Linked DNA regions of Lonchura striata. The protein of the gene in region 3 interacts with the protein of the main gene of each other region in a pairwise test. Links are inferred from orthologs where the notes say so. Each region holds a gene or a part of one and is shown on either strand. Other genes may lie near its edges.

Region 1 (7,954 bases), on a different chromosome or scaffold from region 3:
CCAAGAGCAAACCAACAGCTGTGCCACTGAGCAAAGGAAGAGCCAGACTTCAGGAAACATTTCTAACAAACTCCCCAATTCATAATACTCACTGAGTACATTCTGCAGTTTTCCCCTTGCTCTGATAATCCATAATGCATTGTATTAGGTGGTGATTTTCATCTAGCATCTGCATAAAAGAAATAGGACCAAAACGTAACTATGAGAATTGTATAAAAGTCCTGTGTTTTTGTGATCCTCCACCCTCCTTGGCACTGGATGGTGTTTTGTGCAATTTTGTTGCCTTGGCTATTGTAAATTACCTACATGTGACTTTACTGAGCCACAAGGTTGATTTAATTATAAAAAGTTGTCTTTAAAGTAGTTACTTGAAATACGCATACAGCAGAATTAATGGACTTACCTTGTTCCTTAAATGGCAGATTAATTCTGATGCTGAAGAAGGAAAACACTTTCACTATGAATTATCTCCGCCTCATCCCAAAATATCACCCAACCCTTTCCAAAATGTCAGCTAATACTAATATTCCTACTTTTAAGTAGGAAACAAACTTTCAAACCATTAAACCTACTCCTTTTCCTGCACAAGACCAGAGCGTGCTGACAGCTGAACCTGATGAAGTATAAAATTTGCATCGCTGCAGCTACTGAAACCATGTTTAAGAGAATTACATCCCAGTGTGTCCTTACTTTTATTTCATGAGCTCATAAAATGATTAAAAGCTTAAAACATCCTTTGATTGGTTGTGAAATTTCAGATGCATTAGTTTGTCTCTTTCTCCCATATTTTTTGTGACTGCAGCGCACTTTCTCCAGGTGAATGAATAAAAAAAAAAAATATCAGCACGCAGAAATTTAGATTTTCCTCTGGCATAATAGATTTTGTAGATATCACTGCTATCAAGGGCTTGCAAGATTGAGCCTTTGAACCACTGTGTCATCAGGGCAGGAGAGCTCTTGAGGAAAGAACCATTTCTGGTTCAGAACTGAATTTTGCTGCCCTGGAAATGCTATATGATGAACTATTTTAGAGCAGCACCACCACTACTCTATTGCCAAAAGCTCTAACTTCCTCCGTGTGAAAGCTATTTTAGGAATATTTGATACTGGGATAAGAACAGCTTTGAAAGTTTATTAAAATTGAGTTAATAAATAAAAAAAACCCTGTTTATATAATAGGAATGCAAATAAGAATAATATTTTTTCATTGAAATTTGTATATGTTCTCAAAAGCTCACTTTAATGAAGACTTCTGGAGATTTTTTTTTCTCCTGCTCTCTCTGCTCCATTGCCATCCTTGACTATAAATCCCATCCAGTTCCTGTGCCTGCAAGTCTGTTCCTTAGCATTGCTGTTTGTCAAAGAGAAAATCACTGCCAACAGTCCAACACTCATGAACAGTCCCAAAGTAACCTGACAGCAAATGCACCTGAGATGGGAAATGCTTCCACTCATTACTTTTAGAGAAAGAACATTTTGAAGCTTCCACAAAGTTTATGAATATGCAAAAAGGGCTTGAAAATCGAACAGAAGATACTTTATCTGCCCTTTGTCTGTGGGTGTGGGTATAATGACAAACAACTGAATTATGAAATAATTCCAACTGATTTGGAGGTTAGAGGAAAAACTTACCAAGTCTGAAATATTTCAGTATTTAAAATGAATTGGTTCACAACACCACGTGCTGCAAGAGCTCCACAAAATGGGATGTTTCCAAACAGTCTCCTGAGATGCAAGTCATCTCTCCAGCCTCTCTCCTGGCAGTTCTTTCTGCCCTCATCTCTGCCCTGTCACACGCTACCACTGAGGGAATTTTTGTCCCCTAGAAGTCATAAATTGACAGCGGATCATGGCTTGGCTGCACAGCCCCTGGTGACAGGTTAATGGCTGTGTTGGCAGTGGCACTTCTGCCCTGGTCACCGGCAGCGAAGGGACCGCACGGAGCTCACACCTGGCTCACAGCACACCTGGAGCCACGGGAACGGCCACAATGACAGCAAAAGTGCACCTGACAAACAGCAGCACTACAACCATGCACGTTCTTTATTGCCATTCCCAGCCTCGCTGCTCCTGGCCGTCACCTTCTGCAGGAGAAGGGTGCCAGGGTCTGCTTGTGCTGCCAATCCTGGGAAATAGGAAACAATAACTTCCCAACTCAGCACCCTCTGATTTGGCCTCCACATGACACCCATGTGGGGATCTCCTCTCCAGAGAAAATCTTTCCAAACCTTTGTTTGTCATTAAACATCAATAAACACATCACAATAATAGTAGTTTATGAAAAATACCAGTGGCTGGTGCTCCCTCTATCTTCTGAGAGATTAAAATTCTGCATCCAGATACAAAAGAAAACCCTTGCAAATTCAGTATTTTATTTCAATTCATTTTTTCAGGTTGGATTCTTTGGGGGCCAGAAGCTGACGTACCATCATAAATTAACCGCATATTTGCAAATTTTATTGCCGTTTCCCAATGTATGCTTGGCAGCGTTTCCCCTTGGCGAGCAGCAGGGATAACGTGCCATCCCGATTTTATTCCCTACGTCCTTCTCTCGCTCTCTTTGCAGCGATCTGAACACCTTTGCTTTGTTCCACCTCCTCCTCCTCCTCCTCCTTCCCCCACCTCTCTCACTCCAGCTGTCCATCTCTGCAGCCCTCGCAAATTCACGAGTTTTCCTGATCGCCCTAGAAATCAGCCTCCAGCTGCAGGAGCATGGACAGAATAAATGTCTAAAATTGTCTGTATAAAAGCATGCTCTTTTACCTTCTGGATAGTTTGCTGGGTGACCTCCCCTTTGCCTCTTGGGCGAGCAGAAGCAAAGGCAACCGACATGGTGGGGGATTTTTATGTGTCTATAATATATCGGTTCCAGGCTCTAATAATATTGTTATTATCTGGCTGCTATTGCCGTGCGAGGATTCTCCGCAGTGCACGGGGAGGGGGGCGGCCGCAGATGGTACGATCTGCGCCCCGCGAACACCCGCGGGCGCCGCGCCCCGCGCCGCCGGGCACCGCCCCCGCCGCGCCCCCCGAGCCCCCCGAGGCGGCGGGGCGGCGGCGGCGGCGGCGATGCGGGGAGGGAGCGGGAGCGGCGCCGCCGCCGCCTCCCCGCCGCCCGCACATGGTGCGGTCCCGGCCGCCGGGCTCCCGCGGCCTCGGCCGCGCCGCCCGCTGCGCCAACTGCGTACGCCGAGTGCGCCAGCGCGGGAGCGGCGCGGGGCCGCCTACGCCAAGTGCGCAGCGAGGGGACAGCGGGCGGGGGACGGGGGCGGCCAGGGCAGCCCGGCGACACGGGGACGGGGGCGGCCAGGGCAGCCCGGCGACACGGGGACGGGGGCGGCCAGGGCAGCCCGGCGACACGGGGACGGGCACGGGGCTCCTCTGCGGCACGAGAGGCCGGGAGAATCGCGGCTGTTCAGCCTGGCGTCGGGGTGACCCAGCTGTGCCTCTCCAGTACCCCCAAGGTGATGCACAGCAAGGATGGGGCAAGGCTGTTTACAAGAGAGGGCAGTGGCAGGACAAGGGGAACGCGTTCAGATTGGAAAAGAGCAGGTTTGGGTGAGATAAGAGGGAAATCTTCCCTGCGAGGGCGGCGAGGCACTGGCACGGAGAAGCTGCCCTATGCCTAGAAGTGTCCAAGCCGGGGTTGGACGGGGCTGGGAGCAACGTGGGATAGTGGAAGGCGTCCCTGTCCATGGCAGGGGGTGATTTTTGGGGTCACCTCCACCCAAACCCTTCCGGATTCCCTGCGGAACGCGCGGGGCGCGCGCGCAGCCGAGCGCGTACGCTGAGTGCGTACGCCGAGCACGTACGCCGGGTGCGTACGCCGGGTGCGTACGCCGGGTGCGTACGCCGAGCGCGCAGCGCAGGAGCGCAGCGCCCCGCCCCCGGCCCGCCCGGATGACGGTGCGGGTTCTGCCGGAGCCATGAGCTACGACCGCGCCATCACCGTCTTCTCGCCGGACGGGCACCTCTTCCAGGTGGAGTACGCGCAGGAGGCGGTCAAGAAGGGCTCCACGGCGGTGAGTGGCTGGCCGCGGGGCTGGCGGCGCGGCGGCGGAGGGGACCCGCGGCCGGGCCTGCGCCGCGCTGCGCGCCCGGCCCGGCGGGCCCGGGAGGCCGCGGGGTGCGCGGGGACCATCCGCGGGGACCATCCGCGGGGACCATCCGCGGGGACCATCCGCGGGGAGCATCCGCGGGGAGCATCCGCGGGGACCATCCGCGGGGAGCATCCGCGGGGTGCGCGGGGACCATCCGCGGGGAGCATCCGCGGGGAGCATCCGCGGGGACCATCCGCGGGGAGCATCCGCGGGGAGCATCCGCGGGGAGCATCCGCGGGGAGCATCCGCGGGGTGCGCGGGGAGCATCCGCCGGCCCCGGGGCTGCCCCGGCGCATCCCTCCCGCGGGTATCCGCTCCTCCCTGCGGACTGCGGGGTTTGTGTTTGTGCACCAGGCAGAGCCCCAGCGCCTTGGGAAACACCAAGCCCTTAGAAGCACATCGATGGCTCCCACCTTCTAGTTATCCCAAGCTTTTCCTCAATCAGAGTTTTGTTTCATTTAGGGGAGGAGAAAAAAGGTGTTAATTTGCAAATACCGTTGTATTGGTGATTGTGATACGTTCTAGTAATAGTAAATTTTAATTCCAAAAAGTCATGGCTATATTAATAGTTGTAGTATGTTTTAGTTGCCATTACCAGAAAGAGAATGTACCATCATTGGGATTGGAATGACTGTAACAAAATCCAGTGCCAAATAGATTCTTCGGTTTTCTCAGACATTAAAAATACTGTGAAAGTGGAGACAGCATACAATGTAACCACCCCTCTTGTCTCTTGTTGAGTTTCATGTTTCTAGAAACATTTGGAACATGCTCATGTGGCTGCCCCACAATAAAAAATTATTGCCATCCCCCTGTGACAAACAGTGAGGATGAAGGGGAAGGGTCAAGGGTTGTTTTTTCCTCTGTGATGTTGGAACAGGTATATTCAAGGTATGGATTAGGACTTTAAGGCAGCTACAGGCAGAACATTTTGGCAGTTGTAGGGTTACTTGGTAAGGTGTTACCTGATCTTCAGCGCCTTGGGCTCCTGAGTTGAGCAGTGCCACTGGACTAGCCGGGTTTTCATGGCTGTGGAAACACTGATGGTGCTGTTGGAGAAAAGAGTTTGTAAGAGGAGCTGGAATCTGTCTCTTGGGAGCCACAGGGATTTAGGTTGTTATAAACTGATGATGAAACTGCACCCTGAAATTCATTGCAATTTTTGTTACATCAGTGCTGCCTCCGGGTTGTGGGAAATAAAATCCTGACTTCAAGCTGAGGTGGTGGTTACAGTGTGGGGGTTTGTGCTTGGTTACTGCTCATTTGAGTAAAGTCTGCAGCTGTGAGGATTTTTGGACCTGGGTTAACTTTTTTACTTCTTCTTTTCATGCACGGAAGGTTGGAGTAAGAGGGAAGGATATTGTTGTCCTTGGTGTGGAGAAGAAGTCCGTGGCAAAGCTGCAGGATGAGAGAACTGTCAGGAAGATCTGTGCTCTGGATGACAATGTCTGCATGGCTTTTGCAGGTACATGGTGCCTTCGGGGCTTTGGCAGTTACTGGGGCACCTTTGGGCATGTTTATGGAATCTGAGAACCCAAAATACAGGGTGTAACTGGCCGAGAGCTGTGGGAAGCACAATATTTCCACAGTAGCTTATTCTTTTTTTTTTTTTTTTTTTTTTTTAATAGGGAAAAAGAGAGTGTCAGTATCAATAATGTTTTTAAAGGGAGACCTGATTTAACTGACTAAAACAACAGGTTTAGGTTCAGTGTGCAGGAATGAGAGGCTCAGTTCTTTCTCCTGCCTTGCTCCTTTAGCCAGGGTCTGGGATATGTGCAGGGGTGTTCACAAACTTGAGGAAAAATTCTCTAATAAACACAAGGCTGTAAGTGAAAAATGGCAGCATTAGCTAAAAAGTAAATAATAATAAGAATTAAATAACAATTAAATTTCTTTAAAATATTTTTTTTAAATGGTCACACTTTTGTCAGCTAACATCATGCTGCTGTAGCCCCATTAACTAGATGAAGTTTGCTGGGCAGATGAAACTGGACTGCATGAGGAATAATGTGTGTGGGAATGAGCATTGCAAATCACCTGGGACATTGAATGCTGTCAGTAATACTCCCATTACCTGGTTCAGAATTATGTGTCACCTAAGTCACAAACATGGAAGCTGTAAACTAAATCCTTTAGTCATTTTTGTGCATTAACCACTTTCTGCTGCCTTACAAATACTCTTGCTCAGCAAACCTGAGAGTTTGACCTCTGCCTTTATTTTCCCTTGTTTTTGACACTGGCCCCGTGGGCCTTTTAGGGCCAGATTGGTGTTCTGAGGTTTTTTCATGACTCTGAGGCCCCTCTGTCATTTCAGGGCTGACAGCTGATGCCAGGATAGTCATAAACAGAGCTCGGGTGGAGTGTCAGAGCCACAGGCTCACTGTGGAGGATCCTGTCACCGTGGAGTACATCACACGCTACATTGCCAGCCTGAAACAGGTACTTGGGGCTGCACAGAGCTGCTGAGGATGTGTCCTGACCTGACAGAGATGTTTTATTTGCTGTTGTGCTATGCATAATGTACAGTTAGGTGTGGAACAGGTGTGTACCACGTGGGACTAGAGTGTCACACGTGTAGCACGAGCCACACCTTGTGTAGCATGGAATATCTGACACTTCTTCAAGCTGTGTAAATGTCTGTGCTCTGGCCTCACTCCACTTACTTGGTAAAAATCACATTTATTGGGAATGGGGATGTAGCAATGGAAAAGAACAGTTGAGTGAGTGCTGTTTGATCTGAGTTTTTTCCCCTAGATAAAGCAACTAGTTCTTGTAAGGACTGCACAGTTCCATGTGTTAATGTCATCAGAACACCCTGCTCATCTCACTTCCAGATAGCCTGGGTTACTGTCTTTGCTTCATGCTCCTGGTAGTTTTTCCTCTTGCAAAGCCATTGCAGAGATGGGTAAGAGGGGAGCAAATTGGTGCAGTATTTAATATGTTTTGTAGTTTAGAATGAATTGCAGCATCAAAATATGCCCAGCTGCATTCTGTGAGAAAATTACTCCTTTGCCAGTGTATTAAACTGATTTTCAGCCACTAGCGAGAATTAGAGAAAATTTAATTTACTTATGCACAGATGTGTTAGAGCAGTGGTGATGGTAATAATATGATTCTTTAGTGGTAATAGTAATAATCTCTGCAGTATAATCTCTCTTGCTCTGTAGTCTGTCAGAGCAAGGCACCACTACCCGAGTTTCACTTTGTTCCTTTATCCAGTCTCACGTTTGTGTCTGTTTTTCTGGCACACCATTTCTCTCACGCTGTTGCAAACACACCTGGCCCAGCTCCTGCTGCTGTGGTGCTGTGGGTGTCAGCCCTCCTGCCCCTGGGAGTGACACTGCAGTGGCTTTGCTAGGAGTGTCCCAGGAGGGCTGTGACACAGCTCCAGTGTAACCTGTGTACAGCCACGGAGCTGCCATGATTTCATGTGCAGTCAGTGCAAATCATTGGTGAAAACTGTGTTCAGGTGTCCTCGTGGTATTTTTTGGCACACTGGGGCTTGCAGACCTGGCTCTGGCTGCCTCAGCACCACTCAGCAGGTGGAGAGGTGATTCTGGAAGCTGTAACCAGGTGTAGGAACAGGGGTTGGACAGGAATCACTTCTCGCTTGCCTGCCTTGGGGACTCCATGAAATACAGAGTCCTGACTAATGGAGAGAGCAAATGAACAGCATTTCTGGTAGCTCTGCTGGTTGTAACTGCTCCAGAGTGTGCTGTGCAGCCTAGGAATGTGTTCAGAAGTGCCTGAGAGTGTGTCCTTTGTGCTCAGAGGTACACGCAGAGCAACGGCCGCCGGCCCTTTGGGATCTCCGCCCTCATCGTGGGCTTCGACTTCGATGGGACCCCACGGCT
Region 2 (7,255 bases), on a different chromosome or scaffold from region 3:
TGACAGGGAATGATGCCAGGTGTGCCCTGAGAGCAGCTCAGTGTCTCCACCTGATCCACCAGGACCCCCAGCCTGGGATGGAAATGGCAATTTGGGAACCCTCTTTCCATTGGGAAACTTTTTCCATTGGGAACCTCCTTCCATTGGAAACCCCTTTCCATTGGAAACCTCTTTCTACAGAAAATCTCTTTCCATTTGGAACCTCTTTCCATTTGGAACCTCTTTCCATTGGAAACCTCCTTCCATTGGAACCTCCCTCCATTGGGAACATCCTTCTGCTGGAAACATCTTTCTGCTGGAAACCTCTTTCCATTAGAAACCTCTTTCACTGGAAACCCCTTTCCATTGGAACCCCTTTCCTTTTGGAACCCCTTTCCATTGAAACCCATTCCATTTAGAACCTCTTTCCATTGGAAACTCCTTCCATTGGAAACCTCTTTCCTTTTGGAACCCCTTTCCATTAGGACCTTCTTCATTGGAAACCTCCTTCTGATGGAAACCTCTTTCCATTAGAAACCTCTTTCACTGGACACCCCTTTCCCTTTGGAACCCCTTTCCATTGTTTCCATTGAAACCTATTCCATTTAGAACCTCTTTCAATTGGAAACTCCTTCCATTTGGAACCCCTTTCCATTGGAAACCCCTTTCCATTGGAATCCCTTTCTATTGGAACCCCTCTCCATTGGAAACCTCTTTCCATTAGGAGCCTCCTTCACTGGAAACCTCTTCCTGCTGCAAACATCTTTTCTACTGGAAACCTCTTTCCATTGGAAAACTTTTTCCATTGGGAACCTCTTTCTATGGGAAACCCCTTTCCATTTGGAACGCCTTTCCATTTGGAACCCCTTTCCATTGGGACCCTCTCCCTCTGCCAGAATCTGCCTCCTCCTCCTGCTCCTGCTCCTGCTCCTCCTCCTCCTCCTCCTCCTCCTCCTCCTCCTCCTCTCCTGCTCCTGCTCCTGCTCCAAACGAAACCCGGGGCCGTGGGGTGGCAGAGCTCCCTGGGCCCTTTCCAGTGCAGAGCGAGGGGAAAGAGCCCCACTTGAGCTGCCCAAGGGTCCCACTCCACTTTCACATCAAAACAGCCCCATCAATCACCTCCCACTGCCCCTCTGCGCTTCCCTTCGGCCCCTGGAGAACTCCTCACCATGGCCCAGCCCTGCCAAGTGCCCAGAAGAGGAAAAGTTTCTTTCTGTGCACGCTGAGAGCAAACAAAGCCGGTGCCAGCTGCCCTCCTGCACACACCTGCCCGCCCTCGAGCGGCACCACGCCTTGCCTGTGCCACCCCACCCCTGCTCCTTGGCCTGGGCTCAGCGTGGATTTGTTCCCCTCACAAGCTCATTTAGCACAGATCCTGCTCCATCCCACCTGGGCACTGCGGGCTGGCTCCTCTCCCCACTCCCACCTCAGCAATTCCCTCAGGAATAAGGGCTGGGAGAAAACATTCTGCTATTCCTTCACTCCTCTCCCCCCATCCCCACCTACGAGGGGCCAGCCTGAAGTGCTGTGGCTCACCAAGGACGATTCTTACACCGAGAACTGAACAAATGAACTAAAAAACCACCAGGAGCTCCCCGAGCGCTCCCTGGGCGCTTCCCGCTGCTCCTGGCTGGGGGAATATTTCAGCAGCATTCCTCCCACACAGAATTCCACTGGGAATCGCCAGGCTCCTGCTCTGCACTTCCAGCTCACCTTCCCACACCTGTTTGCCAGCCCAGAGCCCAGCCAGTCCCTAAAACCACCCCAGCACGGCTCCCACAGCAGCACTGGGACCCTCCTGAGGCCACCAGCCCCATCCAGACCCTCAGGATCCCAACCCAAATCCTCCTCAGCCCTGCCTGGACCAGGCTTTCCCAAATTCCCAGGTTGTTCCCACCCTCCCAAACCCTCAGCCTGCAGAAGCCACTCCTGCCTTCATCCTCCTTAAACCCAGAGCGGGGGAAGCAGCATTCCCTAATCCCAAAGGGCCAGGGGGACACCCCGACACCCCCTGCACAGGGACACACGGACAGCTCGTGTGGAAAAGCTCCTGGGCCCACATCAACCCCTCCAGGACACGTGGGGACAGACCCAACGCGGCATCCCAGGAAAAGGAGGGAGCAAGGATGGCAAGGAGAAGGGGATGGAGGGAAGAGGAAAGGGATGGGGGACTGAGGAGGGGGCTGCAGGGAGGAAGAAGGGGATGGAGAGAGGAGGAACTGCATGGAGGGACGGGGAAGGGGATGAAGAGACTGGGAAGGGGATGCAGGGATGGGGAAAGGGATGGAGGAAGGCGGAAGGGGCTGCAGGAATGAGGAGGATGGGGCTGCAGGGACATGGAGGGAGGAGGAGGGGGATGGAGGGATGAGGAAGGGGATGGAGGGAGGAGGAGGGGGATGGAGGGAGGAGGACAGGGATAGAGAGAGGAGGAAGACGATGAAGGGATGAGGAAGGGGATGGAGGGAGGAGGACGGGGATGAGGGGATGAGGAAGGGGATGAGGGGATGAGGACGGGGATGAAGGGATAAGGATAAAGGGAGGAGGACGGGGATGGAGGGAGGAGGAGGGGGCTGGAGGGATGAGGATGAGGATGGAGGGATGAGGAAGGGGATGGAGGGATGAGGAAGGGGATGGAGGGAGGAGGACGGGGATGGAGGGATGAGGAAGGGGATGGAGGGAGGAGGACGGGGATGGAGGGAGGAGGAAGGGGATGGAGGGAGGAGGAAGGGGATTAGGGGATGAGGATGAAGGGGTGAGGATGGAGGGATGAGGACGGGGATGGAGGGATGAGGACGGGCCTGCAGAGCCCGCGGGAACGAGGGGCCTGAGGAAGGGGCGAGCCCCGGGGGTACCGGGAATTGCCGGGGCAGCGCGGGGAGCGCCGGCGGGAGGGGACGGGGGCGATGCCGCGGCCCCGCTCCAGGCGCGGCTCGGTACCTGAGGCGCTCCCGGCTCCGCCGTCCGGGAAGCTGCGGCGCCCAGGAGCCCCCGGCCCGGCCCTTCCCGGGGCCCGGAGCGTGTCGGGGCCCCCGGCCCGGCCCTGCCCCCGGCCGGCCCGGCGGCTCCGGGGGTCCCGGTGGGGCCCGGAGCGATCGGGGCCGGGCCGGGCCCGCCGGAGCAGCGACACCGCCCGCGCCGCCGCCAGGGGGCGCCGGGGGGCGCCGGGGGCGGAGCAGGAGGGGCGGGGCTTGGGTGGGCGGGGCTTGGGGTGGGCGGGGCTTGGGTGGGCGGGGCCTGGTGGTAAGGGGTGAATGGGAGAGGATTTGGGGTCTGGGAGAGGATTTGGGGTCAGTGAGAGGATTTTGGGTCTGTGAGAGGTTTTGGGCTTAGCGAGAGGATTTGGGGTCAGCGAGAGGATTTGGGGTCAGCGAGAGGATTTGGGGTCAGTGAGAGGATTTGGGGTCAGCGAGAGGATTTGGGGTCAGTGAGAGGATTTGGGGTCTGTGAGAGGTTTTGGGGTCAGTGAAAGGATTTGGAGGTCAGGGAGTGGGTTTGGGGGTCAGTGAGAGGATTTGGGGGTCTGGGAAATGAGAGGTTTTGGGGTCAGTGAGAGGTTTTGGGGGTGAGAGAGTGGGTTTGGGGGTCTGGGAGAGAATTGGGGGTCATTGAGAGGATTTTGGGGTCAGTGAGAGGATTTTGGGTCTGTGAGAGGATTTGGGGGTCTGGGAAATGAGAGGTTTTGGGGGTCAGTGAGAGGTTTTGCAGTCAGTGAGAGGATTTTGTGTCTGTGAGAGGTTTTGGGGGTCAGGGAGTGGGTTTGGGGGTCTGGGGAGGGAGAGGGGCTCTGGGGGTCAATGCAGGGGGATTTGGGGGGATCTGGGCTGGAGGATTGCTGAAGGAAGGGTCAGTGGAAGGAGATTTGGGGGGGGTTGGGATCAAAGGAGGGGGATTTGGGGACTCTGGGGTTGAAGGGGTGTCCTGGGGTGTCTGGGGTGTCCTGCCCTCCGAGGGGACACTGCTGCCACTGTCACCGCGGCGCAGTGGCCGATGCCACCTGGGAAAGCCCCGAGTGCCCTGGCTGTCCCTGTGTCTGTCCCTGTGCCCACGGAGGACTTTGCCCGTGGATCTCTCTGCCCTGGGGAGGGATGGAGGAGCATGGGGGGAGCGGGGGACAAGGGGGGCCCTGTCACCACCCGCGGGGACAAAGTCCCAGGCAGGAACTGGGCCCAGAGAAAGCTGCAGGACCGAGCTCCCAGCGAGGCCAAGCAGCAGTGACAGCGTGGGGACATCGGGGACCTCCAAGGGACCCTGCCAAGTGTGGAGGTGCTCACCCCTCCTCCTCCTCCTCCTGCTTCTCCCCCTGCTCAGGGCATTTTTCAAAGTGTCCTCAAATGGTTTGGGTTGGAAAGGACTTTAAAAATCCCTTTCCTGCCACGGACAATTTCCAGGTTGCTCCAAGTGGTGCCTTACCCGGCCTACCTAAAACAGAGGCCAGACAGAATGAAGGGAATAAAAAAGCAGTTTTATTTACTGAAGGGCCTCCAGGTACATTTAGGACAGATGAAGCCCACCCAAAAACGGACCATGTGTCAGGGGTTTCATGCTTTTATAAGTTTGGGTCATTTGCGTATTGGGGGTTAATCTTCCAATTAAAGCTTCAGGTAATGAAGTTGTTTTACCCCAAGTTTGCTCCTCCCCAACTCCCTTTTGTTCCCATCTCTCTGGCTTGAGGCAGTGAGGTGTCCTTGATTCCAGGCCTGGAGAGGGATTGTTTTGGAAAAATGGGAAAGCAGCAGCTCCCACTGTGTATGGAGTTTAGATTTACACACTAAAGAACTGCAGGATTACAAATGTATGGAAATGATAAAAGCTGAATTCCTAAGGCATCGCAAAACCCATCCAACCTGGCCTTGGACACTTCCATGAGGCAGCCCCACAACCTGTGCCCAACACCCCTGCACGGCCTCGCCCAGCGGTGCCACGGGCTTGTCACAGAGCCTGGCACCTCCTCTGCCAAATTGCCATCCCTGTGCGTTTTTTTTGCAGTGCCACCCTGATCCCAGAGCCTCCGACACCCCTCGGGGCTCCCAAAACGAGCCACAGCTCCCGGCACCACGCAGGAGGCAGAGATCCAGCCTGGTCCCCGCAGACGTGGGGGGGTTTTTGGGGATGCTGCGTCCTCTGTCATCCCCAAAGTCACGTCAGCGGGCAGGAAAATCTTACAGCACGCTGAGAAACGCACAGAAACACCAACAGGACGCTGTGCCTCGCGTCAGGCTCTGCTAAATTTTCCCCTGAGTCCTGCCCGGGTGGAATTGCTGCAGCCGGAGCCGGTCTTGGAATGGCTCGGAGGAGCCTCGTCAGGTGTTCAGGGCTTGTGGAAACTGGGACATCCTGACTTGCCGCTGGCTAACTCCTTTGTGAGAGCCCAGCCAAAGTTTCTCCACCTCTAAATTGGGGTGTAATGACACTTCCCCCTCTTTCATGAAGCTTCAACTCTTTCTGATCTCGGCAGGGAAATAAATCACCGCGCGGGATCATAAAAGCCATCAAACGGCAACCCGGGGTGAACCGAGCCGCAGATGGAGGGAAGGGCGCGGGCGCTCGGAAAATGAGAGGTAGGAGCGAGCCAGATGTCACCGGCAGCTCTTTCCCCTGTAGGGTTAATGTCCCCCCCCTTTCCCCTCCCTGCCTGCCCTGGAATTCCAGCCATTGGCTGCCTCCCGAGGTTTAGGCTAAAAAGCCTCTAATTAGGACCCCGGCTGCCGCGGAGCCAGTGCCTGGGCAGGCAGGGAAAAAATAAAAGAGAGAGAGGAAAGAAAGAAAGAAAGAAAAGAAAAAACAACAACAAAAAAAGCGTTTCCCCGACGGAGCTTGGATGTTTTCCTTTCGCTTTGCAAAGTTTCCCCAGCCCAGGCTCCGTTCGCTCGCGTCCTCCGGAGCAGGGCGGGACGGCGGCGGCCGGCGCGGGGCTGGAGCGGGCGGCCGAGCCCGGAGCGGCGGAGCGCGGGGCCCGGAGCGCCGGGAAGGGGCAGGTACGAGCGGCTGGAAGCGACTCCCGAGCGCGGCTCTCCCGGCTCCGAGCGGGGATGGAGCTGCGGGAGAGGGAGCTTGGGAGGAGGGGGCAGCGGGAGGGTCCTGCTGCCGGGGGAAGGGGACGAGGCGGAGCGGGGGGATTTTGGCTGTTTGGAGGTTTGTTGTTTTGGGTTTTTTTGGAGGGAGATGATATCGCTGTCCCCGCCGTCTTTGTTTCCGGGAAATGTCCCCTGAGAGCAGGAGGTGACGCCCGGTCCATCGTGCCAGGCTCTGCCAGCCCTGAGCCGGGCAGGTGCGCTGCACCATCCCTGCTCCAGCTGGGATTGGCCGGGAATGGGATATTTGGGGATGGGGGATGGAGCTGGGCCCCTTCGGACGTCTGGTGGCCACAGGGAGGGGTGGGGGGCTTCGTTCTGGTGGTCACAGGGAGAGGCGGGGGGCGAATCTTCATCCCGGGGGCTGCAGGCAGACGAGGGGCGGGGGTCTCGGTCCGTAGCTGCGGGTGTCCGGATGGCTGAGCCAGGCTGGGTTAATGGGTTACTGCTCCCTGCCGTGCTGTGGGACTGAGGGCAAGCACGGCGGGAAAAGCCTCTGGCAGCGCTGGCACATCCCCTGGTGAGCCAACGGGCCGCTGTCCCCTCCGGTGACACGGGTGACACGGTGCGGTGCGGCAGAGCAGGATGCTGAGACCCTCCCCCATCATTTGGGGGGCTGCAAAGGCGTTTTTAAAGCCCAGCAGTGGCACCGAGGGCCGCTCCACCTGGTGCCACCCCAGGTCCAAAAGGCACCGTGGGCTCCCCACGAGACCAGCTGCAGGTCGGGCAGGACCTGCTGCTCCGGCTCTCCCTGCCAGGCCTCAGCTTATCTCGCCCCAAAAGATGCATCTTTATTGCTCTGCATCTTTATTTCTCCGCATCTTTATTCCTGCTCCTCCAGCGCAGCTGTGTTGACGGGAGCTCAAGCAGAAACAGGTTATCCCGTGGGTGAGGCCAGCGTGGAGCTGTGCCCCTGGGAGCTGCCGGCGCTGCTTTGAGGGGCTTTTTGGAGATGTTGTGTTTCCTGCAGAAGCAAAGTTGAGGCAGGGATGGGAACAAGGGAGCCTGTGCTGAATTCCAAGCAGGCTGGGGTGGCTGCGCTCCAAGTTAATGTGTGACCTTGGCAGCAGAGGGCTGGGAGCCCACACGGGCTCCCACAGCCAGCTGGAGACAGGGGCTGCTGCCGGCGAGCCAGATCAGATCAGTATTCCCAGGAATTCCAGCCTCTTGTACCCAGGGAGCCGCGACGGCTTCCGATCCTTTCG
Region 3 (7,755 bases):
TAGCTATGCTGTTTTCAAAGACAAACAACTAGAAAGAAATTGATTTTTTTATTTGAAAGTGTGATCTGAAAAATTAATTCAGTAATAGAGGTAGATCTAATAGGTATGTCTAACAGACATATCACTGCCAAAATTTTACATTGAACTTATTGTCTTTCTCATTTATACTAAAACTGTGTATGAAAATTAAATATCCACTTTTTTAGTATATCCAGTTCAAGAGGAATAAAATAGGAAATTAACATTTTATGAACCAGATTTTAAATCCATTATTTAATTACATTAATGCATTTTGCTATGTATAAACCATTACTAGATCACTAGTGCTTAAAAAAGATGATCCTTGAAGCATTTTTGGTTTCCTGTTTCACTAAATACTCAGGATTTAATCTGGAGAGTTCACATCTTTCTTACATTAAATTACTTAAGGATTAATTGTAGAGAAGGGTAAAAAGAGAATGAATCAACAATTTTCTATTTAGAAGCTCTCTGTGTTATTAATTTCTTTTCCCCTTCTAGCAGTATTGCATGTGTCACATCTCACCTTACACTGTCTTTAGTATATTTGTAAGTGTCCTCCATGTTTTTGTGGAAAGAACTTATTAATGTCATGAACAAAAAGGGAATTTCAGCTTCAGTCTCCTAAAGGTGATGTTAAGAAATGCCTTCATAGGAGACAGTGTAGTTAGTCTGATTCCATGTACATGAGCAGTAGAAAATTTCGGAAGAATTCTTACACAGATGTACTAAACTGCGACTCTTCCAAACAACTGATCTAACAAATTATTAAGGCATTTGCTTATTACCTTCCCAAAAGTTGCAGCACAGGCAGGTTCCAGCTTCTCTTTTCTGCAGAAGTCTAAATAATGTGCATAAAGGATGCATCTTGGTAAACAAACTCCTTCACATACAATGTAGTTTTCTTCTAGCCTGTGTAGAGAAGGAAACTGCCAGAGTAAGAAGCAACATGCCATTTCTCCTGATTGCATTTCCCAGTTTTTGCTCTCTTTTTTCCCAGTTGGTCTTCTTTTTTAAAATGTTACTGAAAAATTCCATCAGAGCACACAGATGAGTTTCTCCTGAAACATGACAGGCACTACAGACTTGGTGCTTAGGCTAGCTGCAGAATATTGAAAACCTGGAGCCAGATCCCTGTTGTTAATGAGTCTTTTTCAATGTCTGGACTTTTTTGCTTTATTTAAATAACTAAATTATCATCACCGAAGAGTCAGCCTTAGTCTGAAAATAAGAGTCTTAACTAGACTATAAAAGACCTGTGTTTAAGTCAGTCCTTTGAGAGGATTTAAGAGCAGGGACCTGGACTTGCATCTTCTGTCCCACTGTATCCTCAACACCTGAGCTACTGTCTCTTTTCTTCATTGTTTTGCTTTTTAATTTCCACTCTGGACCTGGATATGCTTCAAACCACAGTGGAAAAAAACAAACAACAGCATTTTTATAAGAAGGTGAATTTCTATGTAGATTCCCAATCAGTTTACAGAATACAAGTGCTGAGTGATGGTCATTAAAGTAAAATTTTTAAAACTGAAGCAAAAACCTGACTGTTTTCACTTGAAGGGTACCCTTTGTAACAGCTAGGTATTTCTTTGTCCTGTTGATTTTTTTTTCTTTATAATTTTACATTGTTCACTACTCCTGGGATGATGTGCAATAAATTTGTTTCTCAAATTACACAAATTTGTAATAAAATACTGTGTAGTAAGCGCTGCATAGTGAATAATTTTACACTGACTCACCAGACTTAAATCCTTAACTATTTACACTCAGAAGTAAACTAGAATAAGAAATTGAATAATTTGGATTAGTCTAATTTTTCAGTTAGAAGGAAAAAATAACTCTATTGACAGTCTACATTTCTGAATTAAGTTTCCATTTAATTCAACAGAACTTCTCCCTAATTTCAAGTGTATTTTGATATAAACATTTATCAATTAATGTCTGCAGAATCTGACCTCTTCTTTGGTTAACTTTTTTCCCCAGATAAACTAAACTAAAGTTAGGGCCTCAATGGGTCAGAGAACATAATGTAAATCAAATGCATAATAAGACAGTGAAAATCTGTCACAGCCTTAAAGTATAATTAAAGCAGCCATTCTACAAATGCGATTTTTAAATAATGTTTCATTTCTACATTTTGATTATACATTTCATTGATAGCCACAGAGTGTGAGAATCTGAGACTTGTATGAAGTGACAAACCTTTGGCAATTTCAAAACTCAGAAATTTGGGGATGGGTGTCCTTATTTGCAGATAAGGCTCATCCAAAAGAAACCCGCAAAACAAAAACAGAAAACAAAATCAACAAACGAAACACCCCAGAAATTACAAATTCTTTCTAAAAGAAATGTCGCCCTCCTCGCCAGCTCAGCTGTTAGAGAAGAGTCCCTTTGAATGTGACGGACGAGCCGGCTCGGTCCTGGAGCCCCCAGGGCGGACAGCGGGGTCTCTCTGGAGCCCTACCATTGCAGGGTGAGCTGCGTCTGCTTCTTCTTGTCCTTCATGATCTGCGTGATGCTCTTCTTCGAGGACGGGCTTTGGCTTTGGTCGGCGGCTGTCAGCGCGCCGTCGCGAGCATCCGCATCCTCTTCTTCCGAGGAGAGTGCTCCGCTGCCGAAGCGTGTTTCTGAGCGCCGCGGGGGACAAGAAGAGAGGGCCGAGGGCATCGTTACGGTCCCGCAACAAGGCACTCCCTCCCGCCTGCCGCCCAGCCCGCCGCGGGCTGAGGGGCCGGCCCGGCAGCCGCGGCTGCCGCTGCTCCTCGCCCTTACCTGCCTTGATGCCGGCGGACAGCGGCGGCTCGGGCGGCGCCTCCCGGGCGCAGGGCAGCAAGCTTCGCCCCAGCAGCCCCGCGTAGCGCTCCTCCTGCGCCTCGGCGGGCACGGCCTGCGCGGCCGGGAGGTGCAGGAAGGCGTCCCCCTGCTCGGGTCCCTTGGCCATGCTCCTCAGTGGCGCCGGCTCTGCCCCGGCGCGGCGCGGGCGGCGCCCATGGGCGGCGGGAGGGGACGGGAGCGGACCTGAGGGCGCGGGGCGCCGTCCAACGCGCGGAACGGGGCTCCGCACCGCGACGGAGCCGGTGCCGGCCGAGCGCCGCTGTGAAGCGGAGGAGAAGCGATGCGGGGGCGGCAGCGGGGCACAGGTGTGCCCTAGGGCGCCGTCCCGGGAGGCGACATGGCTCCTTGTCCCTGCCCGCCCGCCCGCGGCTCCGCCTCGCACCGGGCCCGCAGGCGGCCGTCGGGCGGCGGGGAGGTGTCTCCTTCCCCGCCTCCGCTTCCACTCCCGCCGCCGGGCTCCGTCAAGCCAGAAGGGGACAGGGCACGGCTGGAGGCCGAGGAGGCTCGGGGAGCCGGCCGGGAGCGGATCTGCCGGGGATTTAATGATTAACTCCCGCCGGCGGCGGCTCCGGCTGGTGTCAGGGAGCAGCTCCCGGCCCGCCGCGGCCGAGGCGGGGGCGGCCGCAGCGTCCGCCCGGCCCTTCAGGGCAGGGGCGGCCGCAGAGCCTCCCCTCGCTCTCCCCTCCGGCCGAGGGGCGCTCTGCGCTTCGCAGCTGCCTCCTGACCGCCGCAGGGCCAGTCGTGGGACCCTCCTGGGCACTGTCTATCACTGTCCGTATTTCCTTAATTTCCAGCGTAATTTTGTGGGTGATGGAGCAAAACATCTTTATTTTGTACATTCTTCTGGCAGACGTGTCCTTGCTTTGCTCCATTCTAGCATGCTGTCTGTGAGATGGAAGGAGAGAATCACAGAAAGTGGTCCTTGATTTTTCCAGAGAACAAAATTGTCAGTAGGATGGAGATCTAGTTCTGATCACTGCTGCATCTACTGTTTTAATAAATTCTCATTAAAACAAAATGTTAGGTGTTGTCCTGTAAGGACTGGGATATTGTACTATGACTTGTGATAGCAAGCAGTCCTGAAATATTATAGTGGATGAATTGTGAAGCATTCTTTGAGCCATCAGGTAGTGCTGGGCTGTCACAAACACAAAGCTCATGAACAGCTGTTTTCTTTCTACTCTCTTCCAGTCTTCTGTTGCACCTCAAGTCATGGATACCACTAGCATTAGAAAGCAGCAAAATTACCGTTTCCACTCCTGCAGAGATGCATTGTCAGATTAGCTATCATCAAATCCATATTTAACAAAACCCGAGGTGTGCCTATATCTGCTGAAAGACCCAAAACCTTATCGTAAGAATAAATTTTGGACTTCAGACCCAAGGCAGACCTATGAGAAGGTCCCAGAGTAAAAAATGGCATTAAACCGAACTTTCTGCTGTTCTGCTTACACCTCTTCCCTCCACTGTGTAAAATATATTTCTTTTGTTACCAATTACTCCAGTCAATATTTCTTCCCTGTTTACATGTTTCCTTCCTACTTCAAGTAAGTGATGCTACATATGGCTTTGACCACACGTGCCTGTGTCAGTTCTTACTGTAACTCACTGGGACAGTTCAGCATCTGGTTCCAATGGCTTTGTTTCAGGTCATAGTAAAATCTCATTTGACCCTCTGACTTTTGGCTGGCTTGAGCACTAGCACAGGTGCTCACTATTTGGTCCACCCTGACCAGTATTTCCATGGTATAATAAAACCTCTCAGCTATATATTGTTGTGTTGAATCTGTTGTGATCAAAATCGAATGTGACATTGAACATGGTATTTTGGTATTATGGAGCTAAATGTAGCTATTTGTTCTTAAAGGGCAGGATTCTTATGGTGGCAGAATATTCTCAGTGACACTAATGAATTCTATCCATCATTGTCAACACAGGGATAAAATGAGTAAAGGGTCCAGCCAAGGGACTAGTTAGTTTCCACCCTGCAGCAAGCATCTGTAATCCTGCTGAAGCAAAGGACAGACACCAAAAGCTATGGCAGGTGGTCACTCCTACCCTACATTTAAGCTCTCTCTTGCTGGAGTCAGCAGTCCACCCAAATGTATAATTTCAGCTTTTGGGAGACAGAAAGGATGGGACAGGTATAGAATTGGGCTAGCTGAAACCACAAGTACCAAGAACATCATAGCATTTTTTGTGCCTAGAAATTTTTAATATAGTTCTGGAGTATGTCTGTTGAGAATCATGGTCCATATTGTTTGGTACTGAATAAAATCGGATTATGAAGTAGAACTGTTAAAACACATATCCATGTATATTTGGTTTTTTAGAATTTTCCTATTCAAAAATTGTGCATACACACAGAGACCTATACATTATATATATATATATATATATATATATATATATATATATATATATATGCACATATGCCCAAAGATGACTGACAAGGTGTGTGCATGCAGCATGCATCATCCCTGGAAACAAAATAATGCTGGATGGGATGGAGCTCTGAGCAGCCTGATATAGTTGGAGATGTTCCTGCACATTGCAGGAGGATTGAACTACATGAACTTCAAAGGTCTCTTCCGACCCAAACTAATCTATGATTCTATAATTTGTACTTGAGGCATGCAACACGTTTTCAGAGTTAGTTCTCTTAGTCTACTCTGTTCACCTCAGTCTCCCTTTAGAGTCAGTGGAGAAGAAAAGGTGTCTCCTAGAGGTAATTCATACCAAGCACAATACTCAGTGAAGCAGACAATCTTCTCATAAATATGTTTCCCTTCTAGGTCTGTACTGACAGCCTAGGAAGCATTGCTAGGTTTTAGGTGAATTTTGTAATTATTTAATCTCACCAAAATTCAACAGTCTTTTGTATAGGCTGGGGCAAATGATCAGATACAGGTGCTCCGTAGGACAACATAATTATGTGTTTCTATAACTTACATGTGAAATGTCTTTTATATCAGCACTCAGGTATTGCACCACTTCATCTTGCTGCAGTGTTTCTTTTCCTTTTTGCCAACACAGCACATGAAAACAAAACATTTTTCAACTTTATTCATATCAGTGTGACTTGCCATTAACAACAACCTGCCTGAGGGTTTCACTGTTTTGAACTGCAAAATGTTTGGAAGATAAATGCAGCAATAGAAATACAATTTGTTATTGATCTGTTCCTGTGCAATCCTGCATGATGTTTACTTAAGTGTTGGAAACTGTTTCACCTCATATCCTTCCCAGACAAATTAACTACACAGAAGTCCTGATACTGTGTTGATGCCAGGACTGTTTGATAGACTCTAACACCTATTTCTTTCCAAATATGCTGACAGTGCAATAAAAGTAAAGTATGATGCCTACCAGTACTCTACAAAGTTATAATAAGTTAATTTGTCATAATTGTCCGTGTTTGTCATTCTCTCTGCTTTGACATAGCATGAATCTGTTTAGCTCTCCCTGAAACTCCATTTCTGGTTTTCTGTGACTCCTTGCAAGAAACAGTTTTAATCACCACCAATTCAAACAAGATAGCTTTCCCATTTATTTTGGTCCTTTCCACATCTCATTGTTTACTTTTTGAGAGTATTTGCATCTTGAAAATGAAAAAAAAATATTGTTTCACTAAGCTAAGAGCTCCTGCATTTGATGGTGTCACTGGCAACACCTTTTGAAGGCATATATCCAAGAATAGATTTTTATCACAAAAATTTCCTTAGATAAGAATTTCTATTAATTAAAGGATCAAATTTGAAACAAATTGAAACATCCTCCAAAATCTTAGCTTTATTGTTTCCAATAATTATTGAATCATTCATTTTGAAATATTTACTGTAATGATGGCTTGAGAACATCACTCAGTGATAAGGGAAAATTCTTTTTCTTTGCAATTGTTTTTCTGAGCCCTTCTCAAGGTTTTTTATACATCAGCAATTTTTGCTAAGTGATTTCTCTAAAGAATTTTTTTCTTTCTGGTGTCTTGAGTCACCAGTTTTGTACATGCAATCAAGTGAAACCTTAGAGAAAGCAAAGGGAAAGAAAGGAGACTGCCCTCAAATTTTAGCACTTTTCCATTGGGTCTCTTCTACCACAGAGGAAAATAAGGAAAATAATCACCTACTGCTGCCAGTTTGTGCTGTGGCTTCTCTCGTGCTTGTACAAGAAGGTAGAGAAAGATGTGAAAGTGAAGGGAGGGCACCAGACAAGGGAAGCAGCATCCTTCAAAGTGGGGCTGGAGACTTCTGCTCTCAGTGGGAAGGAGGATCTTTCGTTGCCCAGCTTGTCCAGCTCAACAGCTATAGCAGGGGAGTGCAATCTACAATGGTGCCTTTTGACTTCAACAAGCTCTGTGTGATGCTGTAAAATCACACAAATATGGCTGAACTTTATCTGTGCAGCCAACAGAGTGAAAAGTTAATATTCAAAGCTGTGGAACAGCATCAGAACAAACTATGCAGGAGGAGAAGCACTGAACTCCATCGGGAATCTGTGTGTGTGTGTGTGTGTGTGTGTGTGTGTGTGTGTGTGTGTGTGTGTTTCTACACAAAAATACCACAAGAAGATAAATTGATCACCCAAAGGATGCTACTGCCCCCATGTCTGACTATTCCCATCTTCTTTTTGTAGGTTCTCATTCTGCCTTATTAACCATTTCATAGCTTTTGATATATCACCCTGAGCTTTCTGAGTTTTCATAATTCTGAAGATCTTTTCCCAGCTTGGTATGGAAAAGATCCACAAACGTTGCCCTGCCAATAACTTTACAAGCAGGGCCAGATCTTTGAAAGCTTCAGCTTGTCTGACAAGCTAATTCAACATAGAAGCTTTCAGTTCCCTTTATAAGGAACAAGTGTTGGCATCCAGTAGATGGTGATGTTTAATAGGGTATTTCCTTGT
Region 4 (7,311 bases), on a different chromosome or scaffold from region 3:
AGAAATTCCATCTACTCCATATCTGCTGAACCAGCCTGCGTAGCATTATATAGGGGACAGGACGTGAAGCTAATTATTACTCCTATGCTCAGAAAGTGCAGTGGCACTATAACTAAGTCAATTTTAATCCACACTCCCTGGTCAAGTATCACAGCAAGAAGAAATGCAGATGCTGCGCAACATTATCCAAGAGATAGTTAGGCCTTTGTGAAGAGGGAAAAAAAAAAAAAAAAGCTCAATGTTTCCCAAACACAGAGCTCACAGACCCTTCCTGAAAAGACTCTCTCAACTGTGAGGGAGACACTCTGCTGTGTCTCTCTTTTCTCAGATTGTGTCAATGGGGAAATGGGAACAAGGGGATTTTTGTTTGAGTAACCTTTCAGAGCAGGATATCTGTCTCATGTTCCCCTCTCAATTGTCACAAGGTGATAGCTGGCTGATGTGCTTCAGCGGGTATTCCCTTCCCAGCCTGCCAGCAGCTCTGTTCCATGCTGTACGCCGAGGGCTGTGGCAGGCCAGCCGCAGAGCCCAGCTGATAAGCAGTCCCTGTGGCTGCCCCACAGTGATAACTTCACCTGCTGCCACCTCCCAGACACCTCAGCACCTCAGCTGGCAACCAGGAGGGCCATGGGAAGACACAGAGCAGAGACATGATTAGAAATAAAGCGTGCGATAAACTCAGCAGGATGGGGTATGAGAGCAGGAGGCAAGCAGTAGGTTGCCCAAATGAGCAGAGAGTAATATTAATTGCCCTCAGCAAAAGCAAAGAAATAAACAAAAGCCATTGACAGAGGCACAAGACGAAGTCACAGAATCCATTTGCCACTCTGCTAGAATTGCAGTGGAATAAATATGAGGCAGTGAATCAAACCATTGCTGTGCTGTGAAGCAAAAGAGGCACATTACATGAATTACCCTCCTGAGAACTTCAATAGGACCCTGTAGTTATAAATCCTGGCAATATAGCTCAAGTTGCCTCTGAAACACAGACATCAGTAATGCCTGGTCCCAGCTTCCTCATCAGCAAGTTGCATTGTATAATTGAGCTGATTATCCAAGGCAACCGACTCAAAACTTCCCTAGGCTGTGCCTGAAATACAATATTACATAGCAAAGGCACGGCCGCTGCCAAGGTCAACAAGAACAGCGGGGTGCTTGCACTAACCACAGACGTGCCTGCCACAATCCCAACTTCTCACAACAGGAGGAGCTTAGCGGCTCACGTTTGCAAATCTCTCTTTCAAGGTATATCTAATTCCCGATATCCGTGATAGACCATGGAGCTCTGTCATGCTGCTGGCCCTGCTACGAGTGTCCCTCTGAGTAGGAGTGTTTCACCTTGGGGGAAATTAAAAACCCCCTCAGGGTAAATGGAGTAGGTGAGAGAGGTGGAGGGAGAGTGCATGAATAAATGAGCAGTGGGACTTCACTGTGCAATGGTGTGCCATGGCAATCTCTTTTTCTCCCTGTAAAATACCAGCTCTTGTGTCTGCTCCTTCAGAGTTGTAAAGTACAGCTACCAACACTGACAGACTTTATGGGTTTGTGCCCAGTGTCATTCCAGTGGCATCTAAGTAAAAGTATTTAATAAGAGTTATGGAGAGCGATAAAGGCAAAACAATACACACACAGGAACACTCCAACTAGAATTTCATATTAACACATCTGTTAACTCATATTAAAATCAGTCAGGGACTTTTTACATACATTAAAAGCAATGCAAGCTAAAATAATAGCAGAAGGCACAGCTTCTCAAATGTTCTTAAGTTTCATAATGTGATTGTAAAGCATTCTGAGAAAACACCAATTACAAGAAAAGTATCACTGTTGGTGGGATGACTGCAAACCAGATGCTGTCAGAGTTTAAATATAGGTGAAGTCAGAAATATGATGTTACTTATTTTTGTCCCCAATACTTATTGGTTCTTGATGATGTGGTTTTACAATCCTTAATGCGTTTATCTTCATGGTAATGGTGCCATGGGAAGAGATTATACAGAATTTATTCAGGGAAGAGGATCTGGATGCTAGTCCAATACCATGCTAACACCTCAGCTATTGCATCTTCTGTATCTAATTTTCTACTTGGAGTATGAAGAACAAAAACATGCAAAACGAAAAACAGTGTTTCTTTGATTCTTAACTCTTCAATTAAGAAATGCTCCAGAGAGATTTGCACTCTTTTAATAGTAAGCTGGTTATACATAATCACGGGAAGAAGTCCTTTCTTAAGTAAAGTGTCTAAGGACACAGCATACAAGTGAGTTTTATTCTCTTGAAACTACCCATATTTATATTGATGCTGCACTTAAAATAATCCCGCCCTAAACCCAGTGCATATAAAATGTCATCTGTTTCCCATTTCTTCTTGGAAAATCAGAAGAATCAACAGCAACAACAAAAATGGAAAGAAAGGCCCAGAGAAAAACCTCTACAAGAGGCTGGGGCAGTAAAGCTACAGCCCAGCCACAGTGGGTCTTCTGCACTGCAGAAAGGAGGAGCTTGCTCCTTTCACTAATTTCCAAGACTTATTTTGCACTGACAGGGACACACACCCATGAGCTATTATGGCATGTGCAGTCAATAAGACATCACAGGAAAGAAAAAAGCATTTTTGCATTCATTTAGTAAATTTGTAGAGTACAGCCACATATTTTATGCTGGAATTGGAGAACAGAGGAGATTGCAGATAAAAGTATGACATTCTTTATCAATCAAGAAACCATTTTAGCAATAGGATCCCTCTCTAGAGGATTAGTCACATGAGAATTTAAGGATAACATTGTACTATGGAATGTAGTTATGTTTGTAATCTGCTAGTACAAGATTATTCTTTGCTATTTTTCCTTAGGCCATCAGAAATAGCCTTGAGTCCATTTGTGACCTAAAAATGTTGAGTAAGATTCAGCTTGGGCAAAAAGGAGAGAATTTATTTCCCGTTCCTCTAAACAATCTGGAGTATGTCCCCTATACAAAGATCCCTCCTATTGTGTGTACCATATTAATCATGCCTGATTAAGAGATCTAACTTGAAAAGCATGGAGGATCACCACACATCTATTTTCCCCACTCTTTCTTGCTTCCAAGATACCAGAGTTAATTATTACTCTCTTCCAAATAATCCTTATTTACAATGGTCACTCTTTATAATGAACATCTCCAGGCCATTAAAGCATTCTTGGCCTCTGGTGTCTAATCAGCGTTAAAATAGCAACCAGGCAAAGTGAACACTTGGCAGATTGATTTGAGCAGTAGTAGATATCTTCTGAAGACAAGTGAGAATAAAAATAATTGCAAAGACATGAACAAGCAGTGTTCAGCGCCTCCAAGAGCTACATGTGAGAAAAATGCCTGTGGGAGGGATGGACAGAAAAGGTTCACAGAATCACAGCATCAGTTAGGCTGGAAAAGGTCTCTGAGGTCATCAAGTCCAACCCTTGACCAAACACCATGTCAACTAGGCCATGGCACTGAGTGCCATGTCCAGCTGCTTCTTGAACACTTGCAGGGTTGGTGACTCAACCACCTTCCTGGGCAGCGGATTCAAATGGGTTACACACCCTTTGAATTAAGAAATTCTTCCTGTTCAACCTGAACATCTTGAGGCTATGTTCTCTTGTCCTGTTGCTGGCTGCCTGGGAGGAGAGACCCACCAGGGAGGAGAGACCCACCTCATATCAGGTGGTTACAGAGAGTGATCAGGTCCCCCACCAGCCTCTTTTTCTCCAGGCTAAACACCCCCAAGTTCCTCAGTCTCCCTTCACAGGACTTGCACCAGACCCATCACCAGCTCCGTTGCCCTTCTCTGGACCTGCTCCAGCACCTGAAGGTCTTTCAGTGAGAGGCCCAGCAGTGGACACAGGACTTGCGGCGTGGCCTCCCAGTTCCCAATACAAAGGATAACTGCCCTGGTCCTGCTGGCCACACTAGTGCTGACCCAGGCCAGGATACCCTCCTGGGCACACGCTGCCTCCTGTTCAGCCTGTCGACCCGTGCCCCCAGGTCCTTTTCCGCCGGGGAAAAGTAAAGGCGAGCAGCTTCGAAAAGGCAGAAAGGGTTCCGGGGAGGAGAGCCGCCAGCCCTCGCTCTGTGCGGGGCTCTCTCTCCGCGGCCATCGGCGGAGGGAAGTGGCGGAAGGCGCCGCACCCGGTCCCGAACCCGCGTCCCCGCCGCCCCGCTCCGCACCCCCTCCGGCGGCGCCGCCGCGGCCGGAGCGCGTGGGCGGGGCGCCGGGGCGGGGCCGGCCATTGGCTGCGCGGTTGTGGGGGCGGTGCCATGCAAATGAGCGCGCAGGGCTGGCGCGGCGGCGCGCGGCGGGGCGCGCAGAGCGCGTGGGGATGCGGCGGGGCGCGGAGGCGCAGCCATGAAGTACAAGGTGAGCGCGGCGGGGCGCGGAGCCCGCACGGCAGCCCCCGGACGGCCCGGGGCTCCCCTCCGCACCTCCTCAAGGCGAGCCGTGTGCTCACGGGCCGGCCAGGTCTCCCTTCTGCCCTCCGCTGCGCTGTCTCCAGGCGCGGAGCCCCAGGGAAGGTGTCGGCGGGGAGTGGGAAACGAGGGGGCAGCGAAGGGGACGGGCTGCGGGGACCCCCGGGTGCTGTGTCGGTGTTGGCTGTGCGGGGAGAAGGAGCTCCTCTCGCTTTTCCCGCTGGTGCCGGCCCTGAATAACGGGGTGAGCCCGGGATCGCGGGAAAGGTGGGGATGCGGTGCGTGATGGCCAGGCGCGTTTGGGACAGGTACCCCCGATCCTCCCCGGGAGCTCATGCACCTCCTTCCAGGCGCTTGTGGATGACTCCTCATCACGGTGCGGTCTGTTTGATGGATCACAAGCGAGGGGGGAAAAAAAGAACCCTAACATTTTTTTTTAATGGGTAGCCTATGCCCCGTGTTAATTCCTATCATCCCCGCTTATTAAAATCGCTTTTAGCGACCTTTTACCAGAAGGGGTGGCGGTTGGTTGGTTTTTTGGTTTTTTTACTTTTTTCAAAAGACACAAATGTGGAGCCTTTCATCCTAATATTACTCAAAAATGTCTGGGCAAGGTACAGAATTGCCCACGGGGCATTAGATTACTGTACAGACATACCGTAATCTTGTGTGATTGGAAAAAAAGGGGGAGGGAAGGAAAAACTTTCCTTGCCCAGCCAAAAATAACTTCAGTGTCAATAAAAAGGTGATTTTGGAAATGTCACACGCTATATACTTGGAGACTAAGTTACTTTGGAAGTGAAGTCCATCTTGGAACTAAACTTAGGCAGCATGGTCTGAAAGAGTGCTGATGGAGTGGCAGTGTGTGTGAGAAGTACGAGTGATACCCAGGTAAATGTGCACAGGTTTTTATGTTGTTCTGTACGTCTCTGAGCTCAGGCCAAGTTTTCAGGGTCTCTCAAGCCAAACTTTGGGAAAGGTCAGAGTTAAGTTTCCAAAGCAACTGCCAATTTCACCATCTCATGGAAGGACAAGGGGAAAAGAAATTGTGTTAGATGCGGGTTGACAAAGGTAATCCATGGCTTTCACAATTTTGATGTGGAGCTCATGGCTTTCTTTTTTAAATTGTGTCTCAAACAACTGATTGATTTCAAGTCTGAGATAAAATTAATCTCATCTCTTCTATCTACTCCACCTCTGATCAGTCCAGGTAGACTTTACACCTGCCCAGAGAAGCTGTTACTCTGAACTGAAAACATCAGGCACTCGGGAGTAGAAGAACAGTGTTGCTGTTAGTCCAAAGCTCACAGTCTTCTTTCAGGCTGCCCAGGGCCAGGCAACACTTGTATCCCAGTAGCAAAGTAATGGTCCTGCATAGTTATACAGCTTCCTGATTTCTGTATGTAGGCCAGTGGCACTGCAAGAATAGGGACAGATAAGGTGACTCAAAAGGGGGAAGTCTTCCCTGTTCTGTAATGTTTCCTTTGCCCTGTGTTGTGGGAATGAGCATTGTGGATTTGGTTTGTGATTACGTAATTCTAGACAGAGAAGGCTAGATGGAGAAAAGAACAAGCCATTAAAAATAAATAAATAAAAAGAAGATTGAGGGGTTTGGCCTCAAAAGCCTTCTTGCTGGATTATGGTTGTTACTTTCCCTGGGAATTGTGAAGCAGTTACGCTGTTTAACTGGGACAAACATTCTTAGATCTATTTCATATCCCTAGTGTAACACACAAAGAAAACACCTGCACACTTGGTCTTTTTTCTTTCTGTATTTTCTCTCTTTCTTTTATCTTCCTATAGGAAAACATTTTTTTTTTTATTGTACACATGAAATAAAGGAACGTAGAATGCTAATGGGCTGCCTGGGGACATATCATCACTTCAGAGGAGGCTTAGCATCCAGGTGTAGATTTGTCTCTGTTTAACTGCTCCCAGTGTTGTACTGGGGGATGTCACTCCTTACTTTCATTGTGATAGCCCATAAGGCCTCATTTAAAGAAATAAGTGAAATGCTCATTATAGCTTAATTCAGAATTTTAACAGTAGGACAGAACAGGAACTGATTCATGGGTGAGATCCTGAATACATCTCTCCGTCACTCATGACTTTGCTTTCAGTGTGACTAAACCCAAGGTCATTCCTGGTCTAGAAATCCTTTCTGCTACACAATCTATAGAGTTTTTTATTCAGACATCTTCAAAACTTGTTCCTTCCTCTCTTCCTTCATCTAAGCTGCTTTTATTGTCCATTGCATACTTCCGTCAATGTGAATCCTCTGAAAGGGAAAATCCCCGTGGATTTAAGGAAGTTCAGAATTTACGTTACATATTTCTCTACATCACTGTCTAACTTTTGCACACTGTGTGAAATTCAGTGATTCTGTGACTATTTAAAGCAAAGAGAAATTTAACCCCAGGTCAAGTCCTGTTCTCCCGTTCATGTAGCACTTAAATGCCTGAGAACACAGAAGTTATTTTAACTGAGCTATGGAAAGATAGAAATGGTTAAGCATAAGAAATTCTTGTGTTGGTCTTAGTCCTGCTTGTCTAAAAGCTAGTTTCAGAAACTGTAGAAAACTTTCAGAAATTCCTGTAGGGGTGCAGTTGCATGAAGGCAGCACCTCAGTTCTTTAATGACAGTAGCTTGCTTTTGAGCTAAATCCTTATGTACAACAAAGCTACAACCCTTCAAGTTCTCACAGGACTCCATTCCAGTATTCTGTAACCTAAGAGGTAGGATCAGCCTTTTCTGAAACCAAACACAGGCTATGACTCCAAGGATGGAGCAGTTACAGCTACCATGTACACTGTACGTGTACCTTGTACAGTGGGTTACTGTGATGAGGGAAGGATATGGATGGGAGAGGGTATATGGTAGCCAGGG

Evidence for each region.
Region 1: the proteins of RFX6 (region 3) and SS18L1 interact in binary tests that used the Homo sapiens proteins (3 or more experiments, as listed by UniProt). The two-hybrid records come from large-scale screens. The link is inferred for Lonchura striata from reciprocal best matches to the Homo sapiens genes RFX6 and SS18L1.
Region 2: the proteins of RFX6 (region 3) and FRS3 interact in binary tests that used the Homo sapiens proteins (3 or more experiments, as listed by UniProt). The two-hybrid records come from large-scale screens. The link is inferred for Lonchura striata from reciprocal best matches to the Homo sapiens genes RFX6 and FRS3.
Region 4: the proteins of RFX6 (region 3) and NEDD9 interact in binary tests that used the Homo sapiens proteins (3 or more experiments, as listed by UniProt). The two-hybrid records come from large-scale screens. The link is inferred for Lonchura striata from reciprocal best matches to the Homo sapiens genes RFX6 and NEDD9.

Annotation. Positions count from the first base shown.
Region 1 is NC_134619.1:4,914,482-4,922,435, reverse strand, and holds the start of SS18L1 (calcium-responsive transactivator), read right to left. Parts: upstream 3,008-7,954; 5' UTR 2,833-3,007; coding exon 2,764-2,832; intron 170-2,763; coding exon 93-169; intron 1-92. Other genes in the region: PSMA7 (proteasome subunit alpha type-7), read left to right, coding at 3,927-4,022, 5,439-5,565, 6,415-6,539, 7,872-7,954. UniProt on the Homo sapiens protein: Transcriptional activator which is required for calcium-dependent dendritic growth and branching in cortical neurons. Recruits CREB-binding protein (CREBBP) to nuclear bodies.
Region 2 is NC_134632.1:101,065-108,319, forward strand, and holds the start of FRS3 (fibroblast growth factor receptor substrate 3), read right to left. Parts: upstream 3,015-7,255; 5' UTR 2,917-3,014; intron 1-2,916. UniProt on the Homo sapiens protein: Adapter protein that links FGF and NGF receptors to downstream signaling pathways. Involved in the activation of MAP kinases. Down-regulates ERK2 signaling by interfering with the phosphorylation and nuclear translocation of ERK2.
Region 3 is NC_134605.1:66,056,145-66,063,899, forward strand, and holds the start of RFX6 (DNA-binding protein RFX6), read right to left. Parts: upstream 3,004-7,755; 5' UTR 2,960-3,003; coding exon 2,791-2,959; intron 2,646-2,790; coding exon 2,483-2,645; intron 931-2,482; coding exon 807-930; intron 1-806. UniProt on the Homo sapiens protein: Transcription factor required to direct islet cell differentiation during endocrine pancreas development. Specifically required for the differentiation of 4 of the 5 islet cell types and for the production of insulin.
Region 4 is NC_134603.1:91,620,545-91,627,855, forward strand, and holds the start of NEDD9 (enhancer of filamentation 1), read left to right. Parts: upstream 1-4,304; 5' UTR 4,305-4,363; coding exon 4,364-4,375; intron 4,376-7,311. UniProt on the Homo sapiens protein: Scaffolding protein which plays a central coordinating role for tyrosine-kinase-based signaling related to cell adhesion. As a focal adhesion protein, plays a role in embryonic fibroblast migration.